2 linked regions of the Caenorhabditis elegans genome follow. The protein of the gene in region 2 interacts with the protein of the main gene of each other region in a pairwise test. Each region holds a gene or a part of one and is shown on either strand. Other genes may lie near its edges.

Evidence for each region.
Region 1: the proteins of lron-10 (region 2) and ugt-48 interact in a two-hybrid assay, tested with the Caenorhabditis elegans proteins (one large-scale study listed by BioGRID).

What each region holds. Positions count from the first base shown.
Region 1 is NC_003283.11:5,545,164-5,549,899, reverse strand, and holds ugt-48 (Putative UDP-glucuronosyltransferase ugt-48), read left to right. Parts: upstream 1-1,837; 5' UTR 1,838-1,845; coding exon 1,846-2,107; intron 2,108-2,323; coding exon 2,324-2,422; intron 2,423-2,468; coding exon 2,469-2,604; intron 2,605-2,651; coding exon 2,652-2,849; intron 2,850-2,895; coding exon 2,896-3,049; intron 3,050-3,094; coding exon 3,095-3,259; intron 3,260-3,309; coding exon 3,310-3,608; intron 3,609-3,927; coding exon 3,928-4,195; 3' UTR 4,196-4,231; downstream 4,232-4,736. Other genes in the region: cft-1 (Cystic Fibrosis Transmembrane conductance regulator homolog), read right to left, coding at 4,248-4,353.
Region 2 is NC_003281.10:10,617,365-10,622,037, reverse strand, and holds lron-10 (eLRR (extracellular Leucine-Rich Repeat) ONly), read left to right. Parts: upstream 1-1,827; 5' UTR 1,828-1,829; coding exon 1,830-1,878; intron 1,879-2,742; coding exon 2,743-3,077; intron 3,078-3,805; coding exon 3,806-3,985; 3' UTR 3,986-4,172; downstream 4,173-4,673. Other genes in the region: Cell cycle checkpoint protein hpr-9, read right to left, coding at 1-22, 71-196, 250-320, 370-481; mrpl-22 (Large ribosomal subunit protein uL22m), read right to left, coding at 4,247-4,431.

The DNA.
Region 1 (4,736 bases), on a different chromosome or scaffold from region 2:
GTGCTGTTCAAAATGACCGAGAATTTGCTCGCCGAACGTCACGCCCTCCGATGGGTTTTTCTGTACGAGTTCCCCCAAATCTGCAATTGCAACGAAACTCGTCGTAACATGTGTGCAGTGTTAGGCAAGAACTCTGTCACCTATAATACCATGAAGTTTTGGTTCGAAAAGTTCACGAAAAAGAACTACGATCTCGATGATAAACCAAGATAAGATCGCTCTCGTTTGAATATCGACGAGGATATTTCGAGAGCCCTGGAAGATGATCCAAGAGCAACGAACCGCGAACTTTCTGCGACTCTCAAGCATCCCCAAAAAACCATCATCAACCATCTCCACGAAACCGGAAGGGTAGAAAAGTTCGGTCAACTCGTTCCTCACAATTTGCCCGATTCTCAGAAAAATTGTTTTGTGACCTCTCTCTTTCGCTGCTCACTAGGAAACGAACAACGGACTGGGTTAAGGATATCATTACTGGAAATGATAAATGGGTATTGTATGTTAGCCATACCAGGAAAAAAGAGTGGGTCCCGGTCGAGGAAACCGCGACACCTGACCTCAAATTAGAACTTCACGGAAAAAGTGCTTCTCTCAATTGGGCGGGACAGTAAGGGTGTCATTTCCAGAGAGCTTCTTCCAGACTTTGCTACAATCAACGCTGGCCTATACAGCATTTAATTGGAAAAGATGGTCCATGCTCATCGATTACATCGCCCTAGAGGATCAAAGTTGTTGCTGCTCCATGACAACGCAAGACCGCATACAACTTTTAAGACCCGCCAGAAGCTCCAGACAGTCGGAATCCAAATTTTGTCTTACCCATCGTATTCGCCGGGCTTGGCTCCTACTGACTACCATCTGTTCCGCTCACTCCAGAATCACCTTGCCGGGCAGAAGTTTCATGATCGAAAGGTCGTCGAAACGGGGTTGGACGACTTCTTTGCCTCCTAATCGCAGGAGTTCTAGGCGGAGGGTACTGTTCAACTTCCGTTGTGTTGGCAAGAAGTCATAGGCATTAATGGTAAATATATTACCCATTGAATCTTGTTCGCTTTGAAAAAATACTACTTCCAAAAAAAATCAAAATTTTGCAAAGACTTTTCGACCAACCTAATATATGTAAGTTCATCTTTTGATAATTGCCCTCGGCGAAAATTTTCGAAAATTGTCTGCCAAATGCTCGGTTTCCTATCATATTGCGCAATTTTACGTAACTTTTACAAGTACATATAAAAGATTTGCAAGCCATCTATCCGTCAATACGCAGCAGCAGCATTTCCTTGATCTTTTGGGCTTTTGAGCTTTAAGTGCTCTTTGAGTTTTTTTTTAAATTGAAAGCTTTGAATAGAGAAAAGAAAACTTTATGAGAAAAAAATTAGAGCCAATAAAAAAAATAAAAAATTCCTGCCTGTGTGCCTACCAGGCAACCGCAGTAAAAAAGGCGGAGGCCACCTTTACGGCATGTTACGCCTGCCTTAATGGCACAAAGACAGAGAGTTTTGTAACTGCAAAAAGTTATTTATTTGAATAAATTCTTTTTGGTCAACTCTATTTTTTTACAGTAACTTGAATATTTCAGAGATGTCAAAATATTTGACATGGATCTATTAAAAATGATGACTTTTGCAAATATATAGTCATCATAATACCATCAACTTTCACAGTTCACATATTTCTTATCAATTGGAATGGTTAGTACGTACAACTGATAATAATAGTTTCGTTTGCATATACATAATTTCCAATTCTTCTTTTCGGTTTATTTTTGATACTTGTTAAATGATTACTATAACTTTTAAAATAAAAAATTAAACTCTGAAATTCATTTTAATTTCAGCTTTAAAAATGTTGTTACGGATACTCACATTTCTTGCTGTTTGCCAAGTGACTACCTCTCACAAAATCCTGATGTTCTCGCCAACTGCAAGCAAGTCACATATGATCTCACAGGGAAGAATCGCAGATGAGTTGGCGAATGCTGGACACGAGGTTGTGAATTTCGAGCCAGATTTTTTGAATTTAACAGACAAATTTGTGCCATGCAAAAAGTGTAGAAGATGGCCAGTTACTGGATTGAATAACTATAAGTTCAAGAAAATTCAAAATGGTGAGTATTTAAAAATTGATTTTTCACTGATGTTTCTCGAATTACCCAGTAACTTCAAGAAGAGCAAAACTAATTTTTTGTTGAATTTTGTGCCGCCTTAAAAGTTTCGGTAAATCATTTGACAAGTTTCACACAAAAATTCAGTCTTTTGGAATATTTTGAGTGATAAAACGCTAAATAATCTGTACTTATTAGGTACTAAAAATTTATTTTCAGGGTTATCTGGAGACGTATTCCAACAATCTTCAATTTGGAGCAAAATTTTCAATACGGATAGTGATCCATATCAGGATGAATACACAAATATGTGCGAAGGTATGCTCTAAACTGAATTCAAATTTTACTGTATTTTCCGGTTCAGAAATGGTAACGAACAAAGAACTTATCGAAAAACTGAAAAAAGAAAAGTTCGATGCATATTTCGGTGAGCAGATTCATTTGTGTGGAATGGGGTTGGCTCATCTTATAGGCATCAAGCACAGGTTTTGGATTGCCAGGTATTGGTTTTGGTTTTTTAAACTAAAAAGAACATTAAGATTTTCAGTTGCACAATGAGCGTTAGTATGCGTGATAGTCTCGGAATTCCAACGCCGTCCAGCTTGATACCCTTCATGTCAACATTGGACGCTACCCCGGCTCCATTCTGGCAAAGAGCCAAGAACTTTGTGCTCCAAATGGCACATATTAGAGACGAATATAGGGATGTTGTACTGACAAACGATATGTTTAAAAAGAACTTTGGGTAAGAATTTGGGAGATAATTACGTTTAATTAAATAATTTCTACAGATCTGACTTCCCATGTGTCGAATTCTTGGCAAAAACTTCTGATCTTATATTTGTTTCAACAGATGAACTTTTGGAAATTCAAGCTCCCACTCTTTCGAATGTTGTACACATCGGAGGGCTTGGCTTGTCAAGTGAAGGAGGTGGCTTGGACGAGGTTAGTAGAATCTTTCAAACTTTCTTAAAGGCTTCATATATTCAGAAATTTGTGAAAATTATGGAAAAAGGAAAAGGAGTGATTTTATTCTCATTGGGGACAATTGCCAACACTACTAATCTACCACCAACTATCATGGAAAACTTAATGAAGATCACTCAAAAATTCAAAGATTATGAGTTCATAATTAAAGTTGACAAGTTTGATAGAGTAAGAAAATTCCTATAAATCCAAGAAAACTCCCATTTACTCATTTTCAGAGAAGTTTTGATCTTGCTGAGGGACTCTCAAATGTCCTCGTCGTGGATTGGGTTCCCCAAACCGCAGTTCTTGCTCATCCAAGACTGAAAGCATTCATCACACATGCTGGTTACAACAGTTTGATGGAATCTGCCTATGCAGGTGTTCCAGTTATTCTTATTCCATTTATGTTTGATCAACCAAGAAATGGACGGTCTGTCGAGAGAAAAGGATGGGGAATTCTGAGAGATAGGTTCCAGTTGATTAAAGATCCAGATGCGATTGAGGGAGCTATCAAGGAGATTCTCGTTAATCCAACGTTAGTTTTGAACACTTTTTTGAGCACGTCTAAAATTTGTGCTTTACGCTAAAATACTAGAAAAATCGTGCTGATAATTGCTGATAGTTGCGGTAGATTAAATTAATTCTAGTTCCGCCTAGGTGTGTGCGGCAAATTTGCCAAAATTGCCGAATTCACCTAGCTCGCCTAAATTTGAGAATTGCCGCACACCCCTGGTTCCGCCGAAGCTAGTTTTTTGAAGGCCATTTTTGAGGACCATATTTAAAAGAACGTGTATTTCATCCATTTTTTCTAGAAACTTCAAAAATAAAACAATCACCTCTAATTTCATTTTCAGATACCAAGAAAAAGCAAACCGTCTGAAAAAGTTGATGCGTAGCAAGCCTCAATCGGCATCTGAAAGACTGGTTAAAATGACAAATTGGGTGCTGGAAAACGACGGTGTAGAAGAATTGCAATACGAGGGAAAACATATGGACTTTTTCACATTTTACAATCTTGATATCATTATTACTGCAGCTTCGATCCCAGTTTTAATTTTTATTGTTCTTCGAATTTCAAACATTAGTATTATTACGAGTAGCCCAAAAAATAAGAAAGATTAGGTAAATTATTGTTAATTAATAAATGGTAAAAAAAATAAAACAACTTTAAACATCATTTCGAAAAGTTCAAAAGGCATTTTTGAAGGGATCCGAATTCCGAAATCAAGTTTTGTGGAGTGTCCGTTGTGAGAATTACACCATTCTCAATTACAACGACTCTGAAAATAAAGTTTCTTCTGGAGCATATCTAGTTATTGTTTAAAAAATTATGAAGTTTCTAGTTTTCTCAAAAAAAATATTTGATTAAAGATACTCAAAATGGTCTAAAGTGCTGAATTACAATAAAATAAAAATTTAAAAATAGTGAAAGAAAAGATATTCTAGGGTGCGCGGCAATCGGAAATTTCCGGCAATCAGCAATTTCAGCAATTGCAGGTTTTGGAAATTTCCGGCAATCCGAAATTTCAGCAATTGCCGGCTTTGGAAATTTCCGGCCATCGACAATTTCGGCAATTGCCGGTTTTGGAAATTTTTGGCAATTGCCGAAACTGCCGAAATTGCCGAAAATTCGAATGCCGCACGGCAATTGCCGTGCACCCCT
Region 2 (4,673 bases):
CCTTGAAAATACGCTGAGCTGACTGAAAAAAAATTAAATTTTTGCCGAAATTTCTGAGATTTCTCCCCACTTTCATCGATAATCTGCAAATATTCACTGCTTTTTTGTTAATCATTGATACATCGCAAGCGTTGAAAAATTCTGGTGCAAAGCGGAACACGCAGAACTTTGAACGGTTCACTGTTTTGAAGAAGAGCTGGAAAAAAACAAAAAAATAATTTTTTAGCCGAAATTTGACTTTTGACTCACCCCGCCTTCGGAAACCTCAATTAACACGTCTTCAGAGATTTTGCTCAGCGCTGCGATGGATCTTGACATAACTGAAAGAAAAATAAATAAATAATCCGGCTAAAACCCAGAAAAAGTCACTTTTAAGATTGGATTGGACCACAAATTGGGCGCCTTTCATATCTTCATGCTGCCTTTCCCTTGTTATTGATGACGATGGATTATCTGTATAATTTTCATGAATGGCTTGCATTTGATTTGAGATTTCCCTGAAATTTCAAGGTTTTTAAAGAGAAAAATTGAAATTCAGAATAAAATTTTGAATAAAAAAGTTTTCCTCTCGAAGTACACGGACGAGAATCCCCCGTCGCTAGGCCATGCGCTGCGGACTCCTCTCGAACGATTTTTTATTTTTTATTTTGATTTGTTTTGTGATTTCTGACATTTTCCCTTCTTTCCCGCGGCGCATGCATTCTCGTGTTTCCACAAGAGAACCGGTATCCCGTGCAGAACATGAAAAGACGAAAAGAAAAACCAGCGATGCGTCATATATCGTTCTTTTTATCCGTCAGGAGGTACGCTGGACATGATAAATGGAGTTTTGTTCCAAACTATTCGGTGTCATGTGCTTTTTTCCTCTTCATTGCTCACACATATCCGCTTCTTCTTCTTCTTCTTCTACCCCGCTTTTCCAAAAAAAACGCAATAAATATTCTTTATTCCTCAGGCTAAAGGTTTCCTGGAGCATCAAAAATCTCAAATTTCGTGGAAAAATTTTTTAGATTTCAGGTTTTAGGCTTACTCAAGTTGTGGAATTTCTGAATTTCAGACTAATTTGGGTATTTTAAATCGAAATCATTATTCCTAAATTCGGTAATTAAAGTCGATTTTATATAATTTAATCGTAGTACTTTTGAGCAGGGCCCTGCAGGGGTGGGTTGCCGTTCGGCAAATTGTTTTGTCGACAAATTCGGCAAATCGGCAAACTGCTGATTTGCCGGATATCAATTTTCCGGAAGTTTTTAAAGGGATTATTTTATAAGTCGGAAGCACTTAAAACTGCCTTTTTGAAATGTTTTCCCGTTTTCTATAGATATTTTCATAGAATTTCCTTAATTTTCAAAATAGATGTAGGAACATTCATAGGATGCGTACAATCTTGCCGATAAAATTGAAATTCTGAAATTTCCAAAAAAAAATGTGCAAAACCACAATTTGACGAAAATTTTAGGCAAATTGGCAATTTGCCGGTTTGCCGATTTGCCGGAATTTTTTACCCCTGCTTTTGACCATTCAAAATTTTCAAATTAAATACCTTAAAATCCCATTAACATAAAAAAAAATGGCATTCCACTTCAAGTACCTCTACGCTGTAAACTGTGGTTGTAAACTAACCGGACCCCCATCCAAATCGATTAAACCACCCCTTCTCCTTTCACATCTGCGTCTCTATTGATATGAATCACTCTCTCATCCAAAATGCCCAACAATCATTTTGTTCCATTGTTTGTTTGAATGTGCCATGTCCACTCTTTGGGTCTCTGTTTGCTTTTCCAATACACTCCTTCTGGATATATATTTCATTTTTGTTTCGTTTAGGCATGACCTCCATCACATCTGCATTTCTTCTTCTTCTCCTCTTTGTGGCAGGTAATATACATAGTTTAAAAAAAATTAATACATCGAAAAAGCAAATCCAATTTATACAACAATATCACATGCATAACTATACAAAAATTTCTCACAAAAAATATCATAGAAAAGAGACCATCTTCAAGTAATTTTGCGGGAAATTATTTGCTGTAACTTTTTACTAGGTATTTCATTTTTAATTCATTAACATTATACAACTTATTCTTGAAGCCGAAACTCTCTATCCTAAAACATGATTTTAAAAGCCACTAATTTCTGAATCGTATTCAAATTTCGCGATTTCAATTTGGATCTTCATAGGCATTTTTAAAGTTGTATTTAATTACAACACGTCATTTTTTCAATTTTACAAGCTAAGAACCTGTAATCTTAATCATCACCGTCTATGTATGCGTATATACGATTTTTAATTACGCAACATTACACGAACGGAGTCTCTATACAAACATAGCGGCTATTTTATGACACATCATCGTGAATTGAGAGATGATACATTAAAAAGTGAACTCTGGGAATCTAGAATCTAGTTTGGATTGTTTTTTGAATTACTCATCATAGTGAATTCATGTGAGTCATGTAAAAAATTGAATGAACAATTGTAAAAGTCAATCAATGGAATGGAATTTGCTTCCGAAAAATGAATGAATACTGCCGAATTAAAAAAGAACATCTAGTAGTTGAAAAATTAATTTAAAAAAACTGAAAACATTTAGAAAATTATTTAAAAAGTATATTTTCTAGCATTTAAAGCAAAAATTCTTCTCCGTCTTTATTTTCTGATTAGTGCCTATTAACGAAATAAACACATAAAACAATTAATACATTCTAGTTAAAATAAATCTAAAATTCCAAAATGTTCAGTTGCCTGCCGATCAGTTCCATGCCTGGACGGATGTACGTGTGAATTGTCAGAACATGATCCAGTGATCAGATGTGATGGCGTTGGTCTCAATCGTTTCCCATTGCCCCATTCATCACCACTTCGCGGTTTCCATTTCCTGGCACTCACTTGCAATGACATTGACACAATTCCGGCGATTAGCATGATCAAAGCATCATTCCCAGATCTTCAGGGAATTGATGTGCAGGGAAATACTCGGTTGAATTGCTCCGATTTGGTGCATTTGCACAAGGATATTCCAGTTTTGTCGGATTGTGATAATGAGAAGCCGTTGCAGTGTGATAATCTTGATAAGGTTCGCGAAAAAGATTTGAAAAATAGAAAAAATAACAGTACTACCAAATTTCAGAGAAAAGCGAAAATTTTCGATTTTTGGTTTTTTTTTCTAATTATGGGAAATCAGGGAAAATAAGACATTTTCTTCCGAAAAATCAACAAAAAAATGTACAAAATTATACGAAAAATTTTGATTTTTCGATATTTTCAAAAAAAAAATTGAAGAACCGATTTTTCATGGCACAACATTATTTTTTGCGGTATAATATAAAAACGATTAAAAAAAACGAAAAACGCGAAAAATCGAATTTTTCCAGAATTTTCAATAAATGACACTCGGAATAGTTACTAAAGTGCAAATTGGTTTAAAATATTTACATTTTCCTAAAAAATTAAAAATTGGATTTTTTTCCAGAAACTTGAATTTTCTACTTAAAATTTGCAATTTTTCCTTTACATTTTACCGAAAATTTGAAAGTTTTCAACAAAACATGATTTTTTTAACCTAAAATTGAATTTTTCACCTGAAAATTCTAACGTTTTCTCAAAAATAAATTTTTCCGACAAATTTAAATTTTTATAAGCTAAAATTGGAGTTTTCCCTGAAAATTTGAAATACCTTAAACAAGTTTTCTTGGCTGAAAATTATTTTTTTTTAATAATAAAAATAGTATTAAAATTGTGTGCTCCTCTCGGAAAATATCACAATTTTTCATATCAAAGATCCAATACCTTAACCTTTTTCAGAACTGTGACTGGAAGTGCCGTACACTGACAAAACTCAAAGAAATGTGGGCTCAATTCAAGGATCTTGTCAACCGAAAAGCCAAAGAATGGCAAGCTGAGGAGACGATCGAGGCGGCGAAAAGCTGGTTCAGTGCTCAATTCAAAAAGTTCAAAATCGCGATTGGCGAGCTCTCCGACTAATTTTTAATTGAAAAATTGTACATATTTTCCTATAACCCTTCCTTCCCAAATTTCTCTTTCCCCATTGGCCAAAACGATTCGCATAATTTGAAAATTGTTGTATCTCATTGTTCTCCCCCAGCCCTTACTTAAGAGATTACGGTAAAAAACAGTATTCACATAAATTTCTATGAATAAAAAACTCATTTTTAAAAAAAATTTTACCAATCGATCAACAAAAATTATAACAAAAAAAAACGAAAAAATTGTCTAAAAAAGTTCCTAAATACTATATTTAACGGTTCGAGAGCGAAGATAATTGTAGTACTCGTCCATATGATCCCAACCATTTTTCTGTGGATGACGTTGTTTTTGCTGTGGAGCCGGACCTTCTTCTAGACGGACGAAAATGTGAATGTATCGGTATCGAATGGTGTTCCAGTTGTCGTGAGCGTGACGGCGGGCTCCTGAAAAAAAGTGACTTGAAAGATATATTTTCCAGAAAACTCATTGAGAACAAATTTAAATTTCTTCTGATTTTTTAATTCTGCAAAAAAATCAGAGAAACTGCCGAATGAATGTTCTAGATCCGATATTTTTGCCTTTTTCTGGCTAAATTAATCAATAAAAATATTATTATTATTATTTTGATATTTGATTTGAAATAATAAATTATTGTTCGTTCGATTTTCAGAGATATTTCTTCGTA